3 linked regions of the Oryctolagus cuniculus genome follow. The protein of the gene in region 2 interacts with the protein of the main gene of each other region in a pairwise test. Links are inferred from orthologs where the notes say so. Each region holds a gene or a part of one and is shown on either strand. Other genes may lie near its edges.

Region 1 (6,345 bases), on a different chromosome or scaffold from region 2:
ATAGCATAATGAAGAGGCCTCTTCTGACTTTTATTATGAACCATCTACACACAAATGACCAAGTTTCTAAAAATAGACAGCAACAGTCAAGATGAACAAACAATTTCAGACGGATCTGGCCTACATAATCTACACTTTCACGGACACACTGAACAGTTGAAGATTTTCCATTTGAATACTATATGTTCTCCTTTGTGACTTCATGCAAATAAAGAGATATTCAGATGATCCCTAGCTAAACTTGTTACAATCCTCTCAAACATTCTGGCAAGGTCTGAGACTATAATTCAAAATTATCTCTGAAGTTACGGAACCTGACACTGTGGTAAAAATCAAGTTGCCTTTTTTCTACTAACTGGAGAGATAACACGTTTTAATAAAAATCAGCCCAGCGTGGGGTAATTACTTTTATTCTTAAGCACACAACTACACAATATTTGTTGATGTTTTATTCTTCCCAATGATTTTTGAAAAAATGAAAACCTGACATCAGACTATTAATAATTAGATTATGATGACAGCAGTAAAGGAAAAGATTTGGAGTGGCTGAAATTCTAAAGTCTTTCAATGCAAATCTGTTCTTGATCATTTTAAGATTTATTTATGTGAAAGGCAGTTGAGAGAAAGACAGAGAGGGAGGGATCCCCTGTCCACTGGTTCACTCCCTAGAGGCCCTGATCTGGCAGGGCTGGGCCATGCGGGAGCCGGGACCCAGGAGCTGGGAGCCGGGAGCCGGGAGCCAGGAGCTCCAACCGGGCTTCAAAGTGGCCGGGCAGGACCAGGCACTTGGTCTCTCTTCTGCTGCTTTCCCAGGAGCATTGGTGGGGAGCTGGGTTGGAAGTGGAGCAGCCGGGACACGAATGGCACCCATGTGGTATGCCAGCCTGGCAGGTGGCAGCCTCACCTGCTGTGCCACACTGCTGGCCCCTGTTTTTGATAATCTTTAAAAAAAAAATGTGGCAAGAAAACTGATTTTCTCTACTTGTAAACACACACACTGAAAACTACAGTATCTGGAATACTTTTAAAGTCTTATCTAAGTCTTGAAAGTATGCATAAATGTGATATTTAAGTGAAGCAATTACGGAACAACTCAGTTCCAGAGTTCAAATCTGTTATCATTTAAAAGGACATTTAGTATACGATGCACTGTAGTTTGGCGTACAGAAGTTATCACTTCTGAAAATTCATAACTGGAGCAAGACAAACTACAATTCTATTATTGTATGGCTGCGGATTCTCTTGAGAATATTTGAAGCGGCATAGTCTGATCAATGCCAGATTACAAAAAAATAAATAAATAAAAACCCACAACCTTTGCTCCTTTTCTGGAGTAAGTCTGCTACCTGACTAGAGATTTGGACATTTAGGACCATGGCTGAATTCTGGTAGAGCGCTGAGGGCACAAAGTCCAATGAACTCAGAACATCACCCTATCAGTCACACCAGCAGCACATCCGTGCGCACCTCTCTGGTGCCAGTAGTTCGCGAAGAAAGCCAGGAATCAGCATCCAGAGAAAACAGTCATTTTCAACGGATTTGGTTAGCGCTGGCCCAAGACGGCGGTAAATTAGGATCCGGAGCAGACAGCGCCTGACTACCGGGATATTCCAACAAACGTAAAAGCGGGCCCTGGTGTAGTAACAAGAGGAACAGAAGCTTCGACCGAGTTCTAACCTAATACTCGGAAGCCAACTTTAGAAAATTCTACTCCTGACATTTACAAGCACGCCCTTGCATTAGCAATGTGTGCAGGTGTTTAAGCATTCCATAACCAAAACCTGCCATTCAGCAAATCAAGCCGAGCCGATTACAACAGAATTCAAAGCTCTCTTAAGTAAAAACTTCTGTTCAAGCTAAAGTTTTTTATTTTATTTATTATTATTATTTATTTTTTATTTTACGGGTCGTATCTAACGGCAGCAAGGAACACCCCCGAACTGACTTAGGCCACGCAGAGCCATTCCCAGCTCCAGGCAGAGCTGGTGACTCGGGCGGGACACGAATCGGAATCCTGGCAGAGACCCCGCCGGAGGCGGGGACGGCTAACACCCAGGGGCGCCCCAAGGGGAAAGGCGCCCACTGGTTCCAGTGCCACCCCCGGCCCGGGAGCCCGCCGAGGGCAACGTGTTGACAAGTGTCCTCCGTCCCCGACCTTTAACCCAGAGAGGAGTCCTTCCAACTGGGGCAGCCTGAGGGGAGCGCGCCGGGCCCACCAGCAGGGGCACCGCGCGCCGGGCCCACCAGCAGGTGCACCCCGCGCCGCCGCGGGCCGCGGGCGCGCGCTCCCAGCCCCCGGGCGGCCCGGCCCGCCTCGCCCGCGCTCTCCCACTTCCCTCCACCCATCCCCACGCGAGCTCCCTCTCACCCGGGCAGGAGCGCCTGGCGAGCGGCGCCAGCATGTTCGAAGGAACGGTGACACTCGCGGCCGGACACAGCGGGCGGACGAGGGCCGGCGGCTGGCCGCGGGGGCGGGACCCTAGGCCGCGGGGGGCGTCATTCCCGGCCGGAGGAACCTGCGCCTCCGCTGAAGTTCGCCTCTGGGCTCAGCCGACCGCCCTCGCTGCGCGGGGACCTACCCCTCTCTCGCTCTGCGCCGGCGCCACACGTGACGCGCGGGCCAGCACAGGCTTCCGGGTCAAGCAGCAGACCAGGAAAAGCGCGAGGACTCCAAGTCCCAGAGCGCCCCGCGCTTTCAGGCTGAAAACTCGGCCTGCGCTTCCGGCTTGTCCAGCCGTGGTGGGCGGGGCCCGCACAGCCCGGAGCGTAACGCACGCGCACTGCGGGGCAGTGGGAGGGGGCGCGAGGCGCACGGCATCCTGGGAGTTGTAGTCTTCTGCTCCCAAGCACTCCGCGCCCTGTGGGAGCTCCGCGCAGCTGCACTAAGCCGCCCAAAGGGCATTGACGGACGTTTGATTGGCTGTCCCGCAGAAGCGAACCGTCTCCGTCTTGGTGGCCCTGGGTTGACTCACAAGGCGGGCCTTCGGGAAGGAGAAGGCGGCGCCTTTGGGTGTTGGGCGCGAGCGGTTGAAAGGCGGTTGGCGTCGGTTCGGCTGCCGCGGCCCCTGCCCATGGCTGCGCCCGCGGAGCTGCGGGCTGCCTCGCCGCCCCCGCCTCCGCCCTCTTCTCCGTCGTCCTCGGACGCCTCCTCAGCCTCTGCGAGCGCCAGCGGCGGCCGCGCGGTGGATCGGCTGGAGCTGGTGGAGCTGCAGATCGGAGACGTGAGTGTCGCGGGGCCCGCAGCGAGAGCCGGGGGCGCGACCCCGGCCGCGCGCGCCCCGCACTGCGGCTCCCGATGGCCACCTGCCCGGGCCCGGCGGCGGGCTGCGGGGGCTCCTTCCGCCCGGCCTCGGGCTCCCCGGACCTCGCTGCGGCCCGTCCCGCCCGTCCCGCCGGAGCCCCGCACTGCGGCTCCCGATGGCCACCTGCCCGGGGCCGGCGGCGGGCTGCGGGGGCTCCTTCCGCCCGGCCTCGGGCTCCCCGGACCTCGCTGCGGCCCGCGCCGCCCGTCCCGCCGGAGCCCTGCACTGCGGCTCCCGATGGCCACCTGCCCAGGGCCGGCTGTCGATGCTGCGGTCGGCGCGAGGCTTGCTCGGCGCTGGACTGCTGTCCTGGGTGTCTGCTGGGAAACCTGGCCTTGCCGCGGGCCAGCACGCACGCCCCACCCTAGCACCCCGTCCTCGGGATGGATGATGCGCACCGTGTGTCCAGTGTGGACCAGGCGCCCCTGTGCGGGGTTTTATCCTAGGTGCAGAAAACCTTTGGAAACTGAGGCTAACGTCAGGGCTGGGTGTTCTCTGAATGCGCGTGTGGTTTCGGTGGTGGCTCCTCTCTGACGTCTGCTTTTCTTGTCCTGCAGGGTCAGGATTGACAGCAGGGTGGTGGCACGGTGCCTTTGAGGCTGCACCATCAGGCGTCGAGGGTGAAGTCCTTCAGATACTTAGGGCAGGTGGAGAGGAGGCGTCTCCATCGCTTTCCGGAGTTCAGGGACTCCACGGTGTTTTCAGGGAAAATAAAAATACCGCCTTGGTCATGGCGCACAGACGGTGGGGCCAGATGCCCTCAAAGCTGACCTGCAAGTCAGTAATTCTTGAGGCTCTCTACAAACAGCCGATGTTTTCGTTTGAAAACTTACTACTTTTATGTTGAAAACATTTATTTATTTACTTGAAAGGCAGAGCCAGAGAGAGAGGGAGAGGCAGGCATTGTCCGTCCCCTGGTTCCCTGCTCGGATGGCCGCAGTGGCCAGGCCGGAGCCAGGAGCCGCGCACTCGTGCGGGTCTCTCGTGCGCGTGCTGGGCCCCAGGTACCTGGGCGGCTCCCAGTGCCTTCCCGGTGCCCTGGCGGGAAGCTGGGTCAGAAGCGACACACCTGCTCTCACCGGCCCTCTGCATGGAGGCCAGCATCACCAGCTGCCGCTTAGCTCACTCCACCAGAGCGCCAGCCCGTGGAAGTGTGTAGTAGCCTGGGTACCAGATTCATGTGAAAGCCATTTTCCGACTGTGTATAAAATGACAGCTTTAAAAATAACTGCTTTTTCTTCTCATCTCAGGCAGCGTTTTCATTAAGCAAGCTTCTGGAAGCCACGTCGGCAGTGTCGGCGCAGGTGGAAGAGCTGGCCTGCAAGTGTACAGAGAACGCGCGCTTCCTGAAAACGTGGCGGCACCTCCTGAAAGAAGGCTACGAGTCTCTGAAGTCTGACGGCTGACTCGGCCTGCTTAGGTGCTGGGCTAACGGCCGGGCACCCATTCCCGGCTCCTCGTGTGTGGTATCTGCACATGTGGATACGTGTGTCCCACATGTACGGCTTGAGCTCCTTCTAGCAGGCCCTGTACACTCAGCACGGCTTCTCGTGATTGAATTCTGCTTGGTTTTCGTGACTTTCGTGAAAGCAGAATGCTGATACTATTTTTGATGCCAGCCCGTGTTTGCTTACGCTTTAGTACCTGTGTCCTCTAAATTTCATGGAATCCTGTATGCAAATGGGTTCCTGTATGCAAATGCAAATGTTAATGCTGCCACAGCGCTGCCAGGGTGGATCAGGTGAACCGTCACACGGTTTCTGAGAAGACGCCAAGAGCAGCAGTGTTAGAAGTTGAGCTGCATCTTGGGGACCACTGGCAATAAGGGACGGAGAACGCACCTTTCCTTGGCCCTCTTAGGAGAAGGCTGTGGTTCTTTGAAGACTGACGTCGCCGGTGGCAGAAGGAGCTTCAGTAGCTAAGTTCTCTAGAGCTAGCGGCTGTGTTTTACTTCTGTATCCTCAGCACCTAAAGCAGTGTCGCCCAGCGTCAGTGTTGACTATGAGCTGGCAAATGTCATTCGAGCCTGTTTTCTTCTTCCTGATTAGAATCTGTGTCTGAGATGGAGAGAGACAGGGAGGGCGCCCCCATCTCCTGGCTCACGCCCCGAATGCCTGCAGTAGCCAAAGCCGGGAGCTGGGGACTCACTGCAGGGCTCCCACGTGGGCGGCAAGGACACAGTTACTTGAGCCATCATTGCTGATGCTGAGAACCCATGTTAGCAGGGAGCTGGAGTCAGGAGCGAGAGCCAGCAGTGAAAGCAGGCACTCCCGTGCAGGGTGCAGGCACCCTGATGATGTCTTACCCACTAGACCAAACACCCGCCCCCTTGCAGGTTTTTTTTGTGTGTTTTTTTTTTTTTTTTGGACAGGCAGAGTGGACAGTGAGAGAGAGAGAAAGGTCTTCCTTTTGCTGTTGGTTCACCCTCCACTGGCCGCCGTGGCCGGCGCACCGCGCTGATCTGATGGCAGGAGCCAGGTGCTTTTCCTGGTCTCCCTTGCAGGTGCAGGGCCCAAGGACTTGGGCCATCCTCCACTGCACTCCCTGGCCACAGCAGAGGGCTGGCCTGGAAGAGGGGCAACCGGGACAGAATCCGGCGCCCCGACCGGGACTAGAACCCGGTGTGCCGGCACCGCAAGGCGGAGGATTAGCCTAGTGAGCCTGGCGCCGGCCCCCCTTGCAGTTTTGAGCACGAGGACTGTAACTGTTTCTCTAAAAACAGGCTGAACCACAGTGTCATTGACTTAAAGGGAAACATGCTCTTTTTGTGGAGATTTGTATTTTGATGATAGCTTTTAAGAATATATGAAATAATTTTGCTCTTCTGTGATGCTTTATAAAAGCCTTTAGGAAACCAAAGCCCACTTAGAAAGGGTGCGCATTTTCCTCATTTATTTCTGCGGTGAACTGCTTTCATAGTTAATATTTCTTGTACGTGATGCTTTTCTGTTTTACCACGGTCTTGAAAGTGCCTTATCCAGTGAATGGCGTTGTGCTGTTACTTTTTGAAGGGCTGTGAATGATTTCTGTAGTATTTCTGGAC
Region 2 (6,438 bases):
GGCGGAGGTGGGGCCCCGACGGCCCGCCCACCGCGGCCACGGCCCCGCCCACCTTCCGGGGGAGGGGGGAGGCCCAGGCTGTGACGGGGCGAGGGCACGGGCCCTGGGGGCGCGCCTGGCTCTGTCCTCATGCTGGCCCCTGGGCCCTGGGCCGGGAACCGCCCCTGCCCGACTCCGCTCCCTGCTCTGTGCCTGTCACGGGCCCATTCTGCAGAGGTACCCGGGGCTCGCTCGGGGCTCGCGGTGGGCTGGCAGCCACGTGGGGTGGCAGCCGAGGGCGAGCCCGCAGCGGTGAGCTCAGGCCGGGCCCCTGGGCCTCCGTTGTCCCGGCTGGGAAATGGGGAGACTCGCAGCGCGGCCCTGCCTGGGGGTCGCGGGGACCCGGTGAGGCTCCGCCTTGGGGCAGCGGTGCCGCTGGGAGGCCCCTTGCCCACCGCCCCGCCCCGCCCCGGCCCGGCCCGCCCGGGGACACTCACGGCTGAAGGCCTCGGGGTGCTGCCGCGCCAGCTTCCCTTTCAGCGTCCTGCGGGCGGGACAGGAGGGAGAGCGCGTGGCTGCCGGGGGCGGGGCCGGCGGCCTCCCGGGCCTCCCGGTCCCTGAACGCCCCCAGTGGCCGCGACGGCTCCGCTCGCCCGGTGGCAGGGCCCGGCTCTCGCGGCCACCCCAGGTGCGTGGGCAGGGAGCTGGATCGGACGTGCAGCAGCCGGGACTCGAACCTACGCCCGGACGGGATGCCAGGATGCCGGCGTTGCGGGCCCTGGCTTCGCCTGAAGGCCACAGCGCCGGCCCCCCGGGGCCTTGACAGCCTGTGCCCGTCTGTGTACAGAGTGGCAAAGGGGTCTGCTGCCCGCCACGCCCCCTGCTGCCCAGGCAGCCAAGCTCACACGCAGTCAGGGAGCTCCTCTTCCGGTCCAGCTCCCCGCTGTGGCCTGGGAAAGCAGTGGACAGTGGCCAAGCCCTGGGGCCCCTGCACCCGCGTGGGAGACCCGGATGGAGCTGCTGGCTCCCAGCTCCAGCCTGGCCCAGCCCTGGTCATGGCGGCCATGTGGGGAGTGACCCAGCGGAGGGAAGACCTCTCTCTCTCTAACTCTGCCTTTCCAATTAATTAATAAATAAATAAAAAAAGCCAGGATGCTGGCGCAGGGCTGGGCGCCCACCTGATGCGGCGGAAGATGCTGTCCAGGTCGCGCTTCATCTCGCCCAGCGCGCGCGTGTGCTGCAGGAAGCGCTCGCCCATCTGCTGCAGGCGGCCGCTGGACAGCTGGTTAAAGTTGAGCAGCATCTCGTTGGTCTTCTCGAAGCGGTCCAGCCTGGCGCCAGAGAGAAGGCTCCTATTCAGTCCTCAGCGCCCCAGTAAGGGTGTCCCGTGACGGCGCTGCCTGCCCCTGGGGCCCTGGCAGCTTCAGGGTGCTCTGGCCCAGCCCTGGCATGTGGCGCCGTGGGGGTCTGTGTCCTGTTTTGTCTACGCCCCGTCTGGGAGCTTCCCCAGGGTCAAGTCTGCAGCCAGCGCTGTGGCGTGGCGGGTAAAGCGGCCGCCTGCAGTGCCAGCATCCCGTGTGGGCGCCGGGTCGAGTCCCAGCTGCTCCACTTCCCATCCAGCTCTCCGCTGTGGCCTGGGAAGGCAGGGGAAGATGGCCCACGTGCATGGGTCTCCACCACCCTGGGAAGACCTCCTCTCCCCCTCTGGCTGTCACTCTGCCTTTCAAATGAACGAAAATAAATCACTCCCAGGATGCACCGGTCCTCCTCTCCCCAGCAAGGCAGCTGGAATCGGGGTGAGGCTGTGGCAGGCTCCGAGCCCGCCTGTGGGAGGCAGGTATGTCCCGCCGCCCTCCCCAAGAGACCCCGGGGGGCTCGCCACACAGCTCTGTGCCTCTGGTCCCGCCGTCCCCCCGCCTCCCCGCCCAGGAGCCCGGCCAGGGAGGAGGCCAGGGGAGCCAGCAGGCAGATCCAGCTCCCTGCGTTTGCATCAGGAGCGCGGCCGGAGTGGGCTCCCGCCCCGCCCCGCCCCGCCCCGCCCAGCCGGGGCTCACATGTTCTTCTGGGCCAGGATGATGGCGTTGACGTCCTCGGCGTTCACCATGCTCAGGACGCGGCTGCAGAAGACCCCGGAGGCCGAGTCGGGGGCGTCCATGTCCTCCTCCTCCTCCTCCGCGGCCTGGAGCAGGCGGGAAACACAGACTGCAGGGGGCTCCGGCGCGCTCTGGATCGGTACGGCTTCCCGGGGTCCCGGGCGCCTGCACGGAGCTGCTGCTGCTGCCTCCCAGCCCCCACCCCCGCCTCTGCACCTGCTGCCCCCACAGAACACGTGCGGCAAGGCTGCCTCATCGGGTCGCCCCCACGGGGGGGCGGGGTCTGCGGCGTGGAGCAAGGGGTTAGGGCTCCACGTGTGACAACCGCATCCCATGTGGGTGCCAGTTCGAGTCCCGGCTGCTCCACTTCCAATCCAGCTCTCTCTGTGGCCTGGGAAAGCGGCGGAAGATGACCCAAGTGCTTAGGCCCTGCACCTGCGTGGGAGACCCGGATGGAGCTCCTGGCTCCTGGCCCAGCCCTGACCATTGTGGCCATTTGGGGAGGGAAGCCGCCGCCGCCTTCTCCCTCCCGCCGGGGTCTCTGGGCCGGCCCCTGCAGACCCGGCTCTGACGGGGTTCGCCTGTTGTTAGCAAGTCCCAGGCACTGGGAGCCCCACGACCCAGACGTCCTGGACAGTGCCCGCTCTCACGGGCACACGAAGGACCCCACCCCAGTGGGCTGGGCCTCCCAGACCATGCGAGGCCCAGCAGCGGCGGGCGGGGGTGGGAGGGTCAGGAAAAATCTGGAACCTTGGCATAGCTTGGCCGCCAGGCCCACGCGCGAGATGACAGACAGCCCCATTTACAGCTGGCCGAGACTCGGAGCCCACAGCATCCACCTACTGAGCGCCTACTGTATGTGGCACACGCTCACTGCGCTCGGCGGTCACACAGCCCCCGAGCCCAGGCCAGGGTCCGAGCGGCCGCGGCCCTGGGCAGCACCCAGGTGCACGTGCGTCTGACGGGCCCCGCCCACGGCGGGGGGACAGCTGCTTCCTACGACAGCTGATAAAAACAATTTTTTCCCCATGAAATCGCCTTATTTGCCACTGTTAGCCAGGAATTCTTTTTATCCAAAACATCACGGGAGCCAGGACTGCTCGCGCCCTGACCCCGGCAGGTGGCTCGCCGCCCCTGGACACGCGCTAGGACTGTCTGCAGAGCAGGGCCACCCACGCGCTGTCCGGGGATCAGGGCAGAGGCTCCAACCCCGGGCCTGTCGCTGGCTGCCTCTCTCAGGAAGCCTTCCGGGCTGCACATCCCAAAGGGAACTCACGCAGCAAGGGCCCCGGTTTCAAGTGGGGGAGGGAGGGATCAGTTTTCTCATCCAGGAAATGGGAATGGGGGGCGGTGAAGGCAAGGTGGATTGTGGGCGGAGCTTGGAGCAGGTGTTTCCCCACGGGGTCCAGCCTGTTGAGGGCATCCCACGTGACTGCAAGAGGCGGAGCTAACTGCACAACGTCGCACTGAATTCCCAGCCACCCCTGCGAGGGTCGCCCACACCGTCGGCTGAACTCCCCACTCCGCGCCCCGGTAAAGACAGCCCGGGTGGGGCGGGGCTTGGGTCTACACCCGCAGGCTCCGCCCACACGAAGCGGGGAAACTGAGGCACCGGCAGGTGAACGCCCAACTCCAGGTCACACCGCACCGTCGGAACGCTGGTGGCCCCAACGCCCGCGCCCCGCACGGCGCGCCCCACCCCGGGCAGCCCGGGGACGGCGCCCGACCCGGCCCGGCTCCCCGCCGCCCCGGCGTCCCGCTCCCCGCCCCGCCCCAAGCTCAGCCCCGGAGGCGGCGGCGGCACCTGCACATCTGGCAGCCTCGCTCGCGCTTCCGGGATGGCGTCCGCGCCGCCGCGACGTCACCACGCACGGGCGCTCGCGGCGGCGGCGCACTCTGGGGCCGACGTGCGTGCGCGCGTGCGTGGTGGGGGCTCGGCAGGAAGAGGCGGGCTCGCTCGCCCTGCGTCACAGCCCACGTCCAATCAAACGGGCTCTCGTGCGCCTGCGCAGTCCGCGCGGCTGAGCCGCCGGAAGGGGTTAGGTCGGAAGGTATGTCCAGGGCTGATGTCCGCAGTCTCCCCCAGTCCGTGAGAGCTCCCAGGCTCCCGTCGCTTTGAATGATCTTAGCATTTAAGAACTTTTTCCTAAGATTTTTTTTATGTACTTCAGAGGCAGAGAGAGAGAGGTTTTCCATCCGCTGGTCACTCCCCAGATGGACACTGGGCCAGGCCGCAGCCGGGAGCTCCATCCGGATCTCCCGCGCAGGTGCAGGGCCCGGCATGCTGCCCCCAGGCCCTCAGCCCGGGGCTGGACCGGTCCCGAGCTGCAGAGACTGAAGCCAGCGCCGCCGCCTGGGGTGCGGGCGCCACAACGCGGCCCCCCAACAAGGATTTTTTAAAATAATTTTTAGAATTTTTGGGGGGCCGGCGCTGTGGCATAGCGGGTAAAGCCGCCTCCTGCAGCGCTGGCATTCCCTATGGGCCCCGGTTCGAGTCCCGGCTGCTCCACTTCCGGTCCAGCTCCCTGCTATGGCCTGGGAAAGCAGCGGAGGATGGCTCAGGTGCTGGGCCCCTGCACCTGCGTGGGAGACCCGGATGGAGCTCCTGGCTCGTGCGCACCGGTGGGAAGAAGCTGGGTCGCAGACCCCGGCTCTCAGATCTGGGATCCAGGCTCCCAGCGGGCGTCTTGGCTACGTTGTTACTGCCGCCTCTGCTGAAAAGCCCCGGGGACCAGGATTCTTACGGAGTTTGACAGTTTTTAAAGACTTTCCCTCCCGCCAGGTGTGGCCCGTGTTCTGGGACCCCAGGGACCACTTAGGTCCTGCTTAGGCCTGGAAGGAAAAAGGAGATAGAGTCAGAGGCAGACGCCCCCAGCCTCGCGGGGCTTCTGTGTTTGTAAAGAATAGGAAGGACCCTCCGTGCGCAGGAACCTGAGCCGTTGTGAGCGCTCGTTTTGGGAGCAAGGGAGGTTGCGGGGAGGCAAACCCCATCTAGCTGGGGTTTTGAGGTTGGAGTAGGAGTTTTGCAGGCAGTGGACGTGACTTGGGGCTGTAAGAAACGATGATGGGAAACCACACGGTGTGGGCTTGACCGTTGTAAGGGGGGGGGGGCTCGGTGAGCCCGCGGCGGCCAAGAGCTGAGAGAGGGGCCCTGCTGGGGGAAGCTGCTCGATCCATGGCCGTGTGCAGGCTGCCGCAGGGGGCCCTGCCAGAGGCCGGGGCACGTTTCTGGGAGCCCCAGACGGGTAGGGACAGAGGGACTTGGGGGCCCCGAGGACTGGAGACGAAATGTCCTGGTGTCCTGTGTGTTTACGGGAGAGGGTGGTGAGCGCAGGGCCGCCCCGTCCAGCAGGAGAGACCCATGGGAGGGCACTCGCAGCCCCCTCCTCCGCCCTGTTTTGGTTGCGTTTGCTCCACGCGTGTCCCCGGGTGGGCTCAGCCACTGGCCACCCTGGCCAGGGAGGGGACCTGGCCCACGTTGCCCTCCATGGCCGCGACCTTGAACAAGCTACGCCATGCCTCCGTTTCCCTGGCCATACAGGAAGCTCTCGGGAGTCGTACCAGATACCCCCATTCGTCCCTAAAGAAGGCCAACGTGGTGCCAGCATCCCATGTAGGCACGGGTTCGAGTCCCGGCTGCTCCACTTCCCATCCAGCTCTGCTGTGGCCTGGGAAAGCAGTGGAGGACGGCCCAGGTCCTTGGGCCCCTGCACCCGTGTGGGAGACCCGGATGGAGCTCCTGGCTCCTGGCTTTGGCCTGGCTCAGCTCTGGCCGTCTGTCAAGTGAACCAGTGATTGGAAGATCGATCGATCCCTCTCTCACTCTGCCTTTCAAATAACTAAATCTTAGGAAACAGGAACACAGAGTGGTGAAGGTTTATATCCAAATGTGTCCAAAATTACATCAACTGTAAATAGATCAAATACTGGCGGTAAAAGGCAGGGACGGGCCGGCATCAAGGCCGGTGCCCACGATGCCCACGCCCACCGGGGAGCTCCTGGGTCTGATTCCTGGCCCCGGCCCTGCCTGCGCAGACCCCAGGGGTGGCAGTGAGGATGCAGGGTGACTGGGTCCCCCCGGCCGCCCAGCACACGCGGGAGCCTCACCTGAGCACCCAGCTCTTGGTTTAAGCCCCAGCCACTGTGGGCGTCTGGGGCTGAATCTCTCTCCCTCTCCGTCTTCCTCCCTCCCTCTCTCTCTCTCTCTCTCTCCCTCTCTCTGCCTTTCAAGTAAGTGACCAAGTACAAGCCAAAGGCGAGACCGGCGTGCAGAGTCCACGCTCGAGATTAGGGGAGCACAGGACGGCGGCCAGTTCCCTCCCGGGGGGACCTGACCCTCGGACTCTGTGTGAGGCCCAGGAAGCAT
Region 3 (6,445 bases), on a different chromosome or scaffold from region 2:
ATTTCTGAAAATAGTTCCTAAGATTTGCAAGTTCTGAGTGTATCTTCACTAACTCGGCGAGGTGTGGCGTCAGGTGGGGCCGCGGGTGCAAAGTGGCTTCCGTCTGTGTGCTCCAGGAGGTCGGCCTGCTGACCAGGAGCGGTTCACGGCTCTGTCAGAAGTGAAGGAATGCTATGTTTCTTTCCCATTGGGGGCTGGTCCCTGTCCTCTAGACCCAGGCACTCTGGACCCCCACTCCCCCCACAGCTCCCAGACCTCCCCCACAGCATGGAGAAAGTGGGGGCTGGATGTGAACTGCAGGCCACCCCCATCTGTCCTGGCACCCTCTGCACCCCTAAATAGGATCCCAGCCTCCTGGCCTCTCTTCTGGGCACCAGTGTTCACCCATCCTGGCTGGCCTGAGGCCTGTCCTTCTGACTGCCGATGACAAGGGTCCCAGGGTCACACCTGTGGCGCTGATGGTGGTCGTGGTCCGTTTTTTTTTTTTTTTTTTTTTTTTTTTTAAGATTTGAAATGCAGAATTTGGAATTTGGGAGAGAAAGAGGGAGAGGGAGTTTTCCATCCATGGTTCACTGCCCCTGCTTCTGCCCCAGCTCTGGATGCAACCACAGAGGCAGTAGATGACGGCCCAAGGACTCAAGTCTTTGCCACCCACGAGGGAGACCCGGGTGGGGTCCTTGGATCCTGGCTTTGGCCTTGCTCTGCGCTGGCTGTTGCAGGCGTCTGTGGAGTGAACTAGTTGATGGAAAATCTCTCCCTCTTGCTCTTTCTGTCTTCCCTTCTGTTACTCTTCCTTTCAAATAAATGTGCAAAGGAATCTTTTAAAACATTACAAGCAGGATCGAAGAACCTCAGACTGGTTTCCCAGGGATTCTGCCTGCTCCACCCCTGCTAAGCCAGCCGCAGAGTTGGAGAGGGCGGCCTGACCTCCGGCCCCAGGTGGCACCTGCCCCAGGGCTGCCTGAGGCCACACACCTCCCCACACCTCAGCCAGGCCACAGTCTCTGCACAGGCCCCTCTGACAGCCCAGTGGTGCTCCTGGGAGGCCTGTCCTCGTCATCTCCCTCCCTCCCTCCCTCTGACTTATTTGAAAGACAGAGTGACAGAGATCTTCCATCTGCTGGTTCACGCCCCAAGTGCCTGCAAACACCAGGTTTGGAAGAGGCTGACGCCAGAAGCCAGGAATTCCCGGGGTGTGTCAGCAGCAGCTGCGCCAGATGCAGGGCTGGGGCATCTAGGGGCCCTCGAGTCAGCTGGAACCCACCCCTCTCCCTGAGGCCTGCCTCTCCGGGCAGCCTGCGTGGTTGGCACCACCTGGATGACAAGGGTCTGGCTTGGACGATTTCTGAAGCCATGATTTCTGGGTCCCGAGGCGGCCCCAGTACTGGCCCACAAGACCCAGCCAGCTCCTGGGTGTGGTCACTCATCAGCCGTCCAGGGTGGCTGAAGGATGTGTGGCTCCATCCTCCCTGCTGCCCTGACGTGGCTGGACGCCCACCCCCGCCCTGACTACGGGCAGGGCAGCTTCTGCTGGCCTGGGAGACTGGGGTGTGGTGTCCGCCCACCATACAACCTGGGAACAGCCACAAGGAATTCATGCTTTTCCTCGTGGTTAAGGTGAGTCCCGCACCTGCCACCTTCAGTGCCGCTGAGCGCCTAAGGCCTGGTGTGCCCAGCTGCCCCCAGCAGTCCCTGGCCCGCTCTCTGCAGCCGCCAGCACCCCATCACTAGGAGGCAGGCAGGCACCGGTCCTGGCCCCGCACCTTGGCACTCCTCAACTCTCCTGGGCCTGGGCCACCCTCTGTGTTGTGTGGTCTGGCCCCTCCTGGGGACTTCAGCTGTGGCAAAAGCCAGTCTCTCGCTTATCCGGGTCAGTGAGTCAGCTTGCCTCACCCCAACAGCAGCCCTGCCAGGCACAGGTCAGGGGTCGGGGCGTGGAGCCGCCAGGTACAGGGACAGGGGTCAGCTTCTGGCACCCCTTCCCCATCAGCCTGACCAGAGGAACCCACCCTCCTGCCGGCTGTGGGGCTCCCCAGTGTGGGCGGGCAGCTCCGGGAGCCAACCCCGGGCAGAGGCCCTAACGACCCAGGCTGGGTTCTGGGACGGCGCCGTGGTCGCACGGACCGAGGGGCAGGGTTGGCGGGGTCGGGGATGCTCGAGGACAGAGGAGGGGGAGCCGGCCGTGAAGGGACCCGGAGCGGCCTAACGGGCCCGGGCCGTTCGGGGGGCGGGGCTCCTGGGGGCGGGGCTCCAGGGGGCGCGTCCAGCCCGCCCCGCCCCGCGGCCCTCGCTCAGGGCGGTTTGCGGGGCCCGAATTCTCCGCAGGAGGTCGCCGCTCCCAGAGGACCCTTCCCAGCAGGCGGGGCCGTGAGTGCGGGGGCGGGGCCGGGGTCGGGGTCTCCACGGGGCCTGCGGCGGGGGCGAGGTCGGCACACTCGGGCGCGGGGCGGGGCCGGCGGGGGCGGGGCCGGGCGGGCGCGCGCGAACTACGCGTCCCAGGGTGCAGCGCGCGGCCGCGGGGCCGGGGGTTTGAGCCGAGGGTCGGCCCGCGGCGGCGGCGGCGGCGGAGGCGGCGGCCGGGGTCGGTCTGAGGCGGGCGCGGGGGCGCTGCCCCGAGGCGATGACGGGCAAGGAGGAGGAGATCGCGCGGATCGCCCGCAGGCTGGACAAGATGGTGACCAAGAAGAGCGCGGTGAGGGGCGCGGGCCGCTGGTACCCCCGCCCCGTCGAGACCCCGCCGAGGCCGCCGCCCCGCGTCAGGCCCGGGAGCCCCCACGGGGAAGGACGAGAGCCCCGGCAGAGACCCCTGGGACGCCGGGAGACCCCCGTGCCCGGGGCAGGGACCCCCGCCCGGGCCGCCCCGCCCTCCCCCTGCGCCCCGCAGACCCGAGGCCCGGCCCGACCCCCGGCCCAGGAGCCCCCGCCGCACGCTGGGCCCGCCCCCGGCCCTCGCCCCCACTCACGGGCTGCGGGGCCGAGTCCTCGCCCCTAGGGGCCCGGCGCCTGCGGCAAATGCCGCCGCCTCGACCGGACCCCACGGCCGGGCCGGTCCTGGAACGGCCTCACTCCCCGCAGCACCCCTGGCGACCGCCCAGCACCGCCGCGGTGGGGAGGGGGCGAGCATCCCGCGGACCGGCTCCGTGCACGGGACCTGTGCTGTCCCCGGGGCTGCGAGCTCCCGGGGCGGCCCCAGACGGCTGAGTCATGGGCTCCGGGACCGCGTGGGGGTGGGGCGGGTTCTTGTGGATGGGGTTCTCCAGGAACGGGCCCGACTGTCAGTCATCCTGGAAGCAGCACCCCCACCCCATTGTTTTCTCACCCCCCCAGGCCTGCAGCAAAGTAGGGGCGCTAGACTGGCTGGGGGAGACTAACAGGGAGGGGAGCGGCTGGGCAGGACTCGCTCCCTGGGAGGACAGGGAGGGAGGCCAGCACCTGAGAGCTGAGAGCCCCTTTTGGGGTCCGGAGACCTGGGAGAGCCAGCTTCCCCGTGTGCAGTGCCGGTGGGAACGCGGCCCTGGGAGATCCGAACTCGGCACAGCGCAGGAGCGGGGCCTGCCTGGGAGAGGGATCTGCGTGGTCACCCCCGCCCTTCTGGTCGGAGAGACACACACCGCACTGAAGGGATGGCGCCCGCAGGGAGCAGTGGGGGCGGGGGAGCTGGCCCCCCCGAGTCCCACCTTTAAGGAACAGAGGCTTGGCTGGGCACAAGGCATTGCAGGGAGGTGGGGCCCACACCCATCAGGGTCCTGGACCTGGGGAGCCTGGAGGAGCGGTGCCCGAGGGGAGATGCCCCTGTGTGTGACAGCCTGAGCCCTCCCCTACCTGGCCATGGCCCTTGGCGTCTGTGCTCCTGTGGTTTGTTCAGTGACCCCACATGGCTACGGTGAGGTTGTTGCGTGGATGCTGGACGGAAGGTCACGGGACCATAGGGACAGAGCCTGCAGAGCCACTTGGCTCCTTATCCTGGGTGCACCGGCTGGTGGGCGGAGCCCTGGTGTCTCCAGGTGGAGGCACTGAGGCATGGCCTATGGGCAGGAAGAGGTGGGATTGTCCACTGAGCTCTAGGAAGCCCCCCTTTCTCCTTCCAGGAGGGTGCCATAGACCTGCTGAGGGAACTCAAGGCCATGCCCGTCACACTGCACCTGCTCCAGGTAGGTCCTTGCCTGCCCCCGGCCTGGGGCAGCTCCTGGGAGAGCAGTGTCCAAGGGCACACTGATGGGCACAGGCCTGTTCCTGGCTCTGGCTCTCAATGAGACGTTTCGATATCCCACCCTGTCCTCGTGGGTTCTACTGGGAGATGTCAGAGTCCCCCTGGGGGCTCCCCACCACCCCCCGACCCAGGCGGCTTGTTCACAGGCCACTCGTGTGGGGATGTCGGTCAACGCCCTGAGAAAGCAGAGCTCAGACGAAGAGGTCATCGCGCTGGCCAAGTCTCTCATCAAGTCGTGGAAGAAGCTGCTGGGTGTGGGTCGGGCAGTGAGGGCTCTGTGCTTGGAGGAGGGGTGCCCAGGGGGTGCTGGCCTCCTGCTTGTCAGGCACAGTGCTGCCTGGAGCTGGAACTGGACCGGGGCCTGCCTTGGAGGTGCTGCAGGAGGCTGGGGCCCCCAGAACCTGCTGGGCCGGGCAAAGCTGAGGTGCCCAGGGCCAGGGGGGCAGGAGGTGGCCCAGGGTGGGGGCACTGGTACGAGTGGGCTGTGCCACTGGGACAGGAAAGCAGCCATGCCTCTGGGCCCTGGGAGGGGGAGCCTTCCTAGGCTGTCCTGGGCACTTACCTCTGTGAGGCAGCCACGTGACCTGTGTGGCCAATGGACACATGCGACACACATGTGGGCTGTCCCCAGTGCAGGCCTCCCAAGGCGTGGGGTTCAGGAGGAGCCTGCTCTGTGCTGGAGGGTGGACCCAAAGAGACCCCCCCTAGGCAAGAAAGGGTATTGGGGTGGTGGCCTCCTGGCTGGGGCAGGGACCGGGACCGTGGCCGAAGGCGGTGGCCAGGGCTCTGCTTTGCTGGAGTCCTCTGTCCCCTTCACTCACTGCCTCTTCTCCGGAAACTGCAGACGCTTCAGATGCCAGAGCCAGGGACCGGGGGAGGGGTGCGCCTCTGCCTGCCTCGTCCTCCAAGGCCGCCTCCGAGGCCACGGATCCCAGGTAGAGCACCTGGGGAGCAGGTGCCGCTGTGACCCTGGGCGGTGGTCAGGGGAAGCGTTGGTCAGCCCAGTCCCACCTGGCTGGGTGTGCCTTGCGGTCAGTGAGCTGCTCTGGGTCTTCCCCTGCCTGCCTACCCTGGGGCCTGTCCTGGACCTGGATGCTCACTGGCCTGCTCTGCCTGGTGTCTGTAGACGCTGGCCCTTCCTCCTGGACAGAGGCAGCCCCCGTCCTGCCTGGCCCAGGCACACACGGGCAGCCCAGAGGTGTCCTGGTGAGAGGCTGCTTGGCTCTTGATCAGAGTGGACGGTAGTGGTTGGCAGCTGGGCGTGGGTCACAAGCCGAACCCTGGGTCTGTGGCGTGTGCTCCTCCGGAAGCCCCCTGCTCCCGCTGATTTCCACAGGGCTGTGCCCGCTGGGCCGGAGGATGCAGCCTGGGCAGCGGGCGGCCCCACTTTCTCTGTCAGAGGAAGCTGGCCTTGGATGACCCCTGCCTCGTTTTCCACTCAGGCAGCTCCTGATTGCCTAGGCTGCCCTCGCCTCAGACCTAAGCAGGGTGGGTGCCCTGAGAGGATGAGCTCTGACCTGGTGGGGACCACAGGACCCGCCCCCTGTGGCCAGCTGGGCAGACCCCACAGGAACGCCAAACTGGGTGGACAGGGTGGGGTCACGGGCAGCCCATCTCTCTGCAGCCGCAAGAGGCTGGAGCTGCCCAGGACGCCATCCACCCCAAGGATGACCACGTTCCCCCCGGTGCCTGTCACCTGCGATGCTGTGCGCACCAAGTGCCGCGAGATGCTGAGCGCCGCCCTGCAGACGGACGGTGCGTGTCCAGTGAGACAGCCCCGCTGCCCCAGCCCCCGCTCAACATCAGGCAGGGGGGGCCGTCTTGGGGGTCACCAGAGTACTGGCTCCAGGCCAGGGTGCTGTGCGGGCAGAGAACCAGTCGGGGTGCTGGTGGGGTCCTTCCCGCAGGCGACCACGTGGCCATCGGTGTGGACTGTGAGCGTCTGTCAGCCCAGATTGAGGAGTATATCCTTTGTGTGCAGCTGTGGGCCAAGGGGTCTGGCAGAGGCGGGACGCTGGGCCAGGCTCCCCATGGGGGCTCCACTGTCCAGCTGCTTAGTGCCCTTTCTGGGCAGTCACTGGCTTTTGTTGTTTAAGGATTTATTTATTTTAAAGTCAGAGTTATAGAGAGAAGGGGTGGGGTGGGGGGAGAGAGAGGTGGATCTTCCATCTGCTGGTTCCCTCCCCAGATGGCTACAACAGCCAGGGCTGGGTGAGGCCAAAGCCAGGAGTTTCA

What was found.
Region 1: the proteins of KXD1 (region 2) and C8H4orf46 interact in binary tests that used the Homo sapiens proteins (3 or more experiments, as listed by UniProt). The two-hybrid records come from large-scale screens. The link is inferred for Oryctolagus cuniculus from reciprocal best matches to the Homo sapiens genes KXD1 and C4orf46.
Region 3: the proteins of KXD1 (region 2) and TCEA2 interact in binary tests that used the Homo sapiens proteins (3 or more experiments, as listed by UniProt). The two-hybrid records come from large-scale screens. The link is inferred for Oryctolagus cuniculus from reciprocal best matches to the Homo sapiens genes KXD1 and TCEA2.

Annotation. Positions count from the first base shown.
Region 1 is NC_091439.1:138,685,263-138,691,607, forward strand, and holds the start of C8H4orf46 (renal cancer differentiation gene 1 protein), read left to right. Parts: upstream 1-2,826; 5' UTR 2,827-3,071; coding exon 3,072-3,221; intron 3,222-4,552; coding exon 4,553-4,708; 3' UTR 4,709-6,345. Other genes in the region: ETFDH (electron transfer flavoprotein-ubiquinone oxidoreductase, mitochondrial), read right to left, coding at 2,369-2,402.
Region 2 is NC_091447.1:65,704,917-65,711,354, reverse strand, and holds the start of KXD1 (kxDL motif-containing protein 1), read right to left. Parts: upstream 4,007-6,438; 5' UTR 3,877-4,006; intron 2,159-3,876; 5' UTR 2,135-2,158; coding exon 2,034-2,134; intron 1,311-2,033; coding exon 1,158-1,310; intron 524-1,157; coding exon 477-523; intron 1-476.
Region 3 is NC_091442.1:142,267-148,711, reverse strand, and holds the start of TCEA2 (transcription elongation factor A protein 2), read left to right. Parts: upstream 1-2,492; 5' UTR 2,493-2,620; coding exon 2,621-2,692; intron 2,693-4,088; coding exon 4,089-4,151; intron 4,152-4,356; coding exon 4,357-4,462; intron 4,463-5,054; coding exon 5,055-5,145; intron 5,146-5,834; coding exon 5,835-5,965; intron 5,966-6,117; coding exon 6,118-6,174; intron 6,175-6,445. UniProt on the Homo sapiens protein: Necessary for efficient RNA polymerase II transcription elongation past template-encoded arresting sites.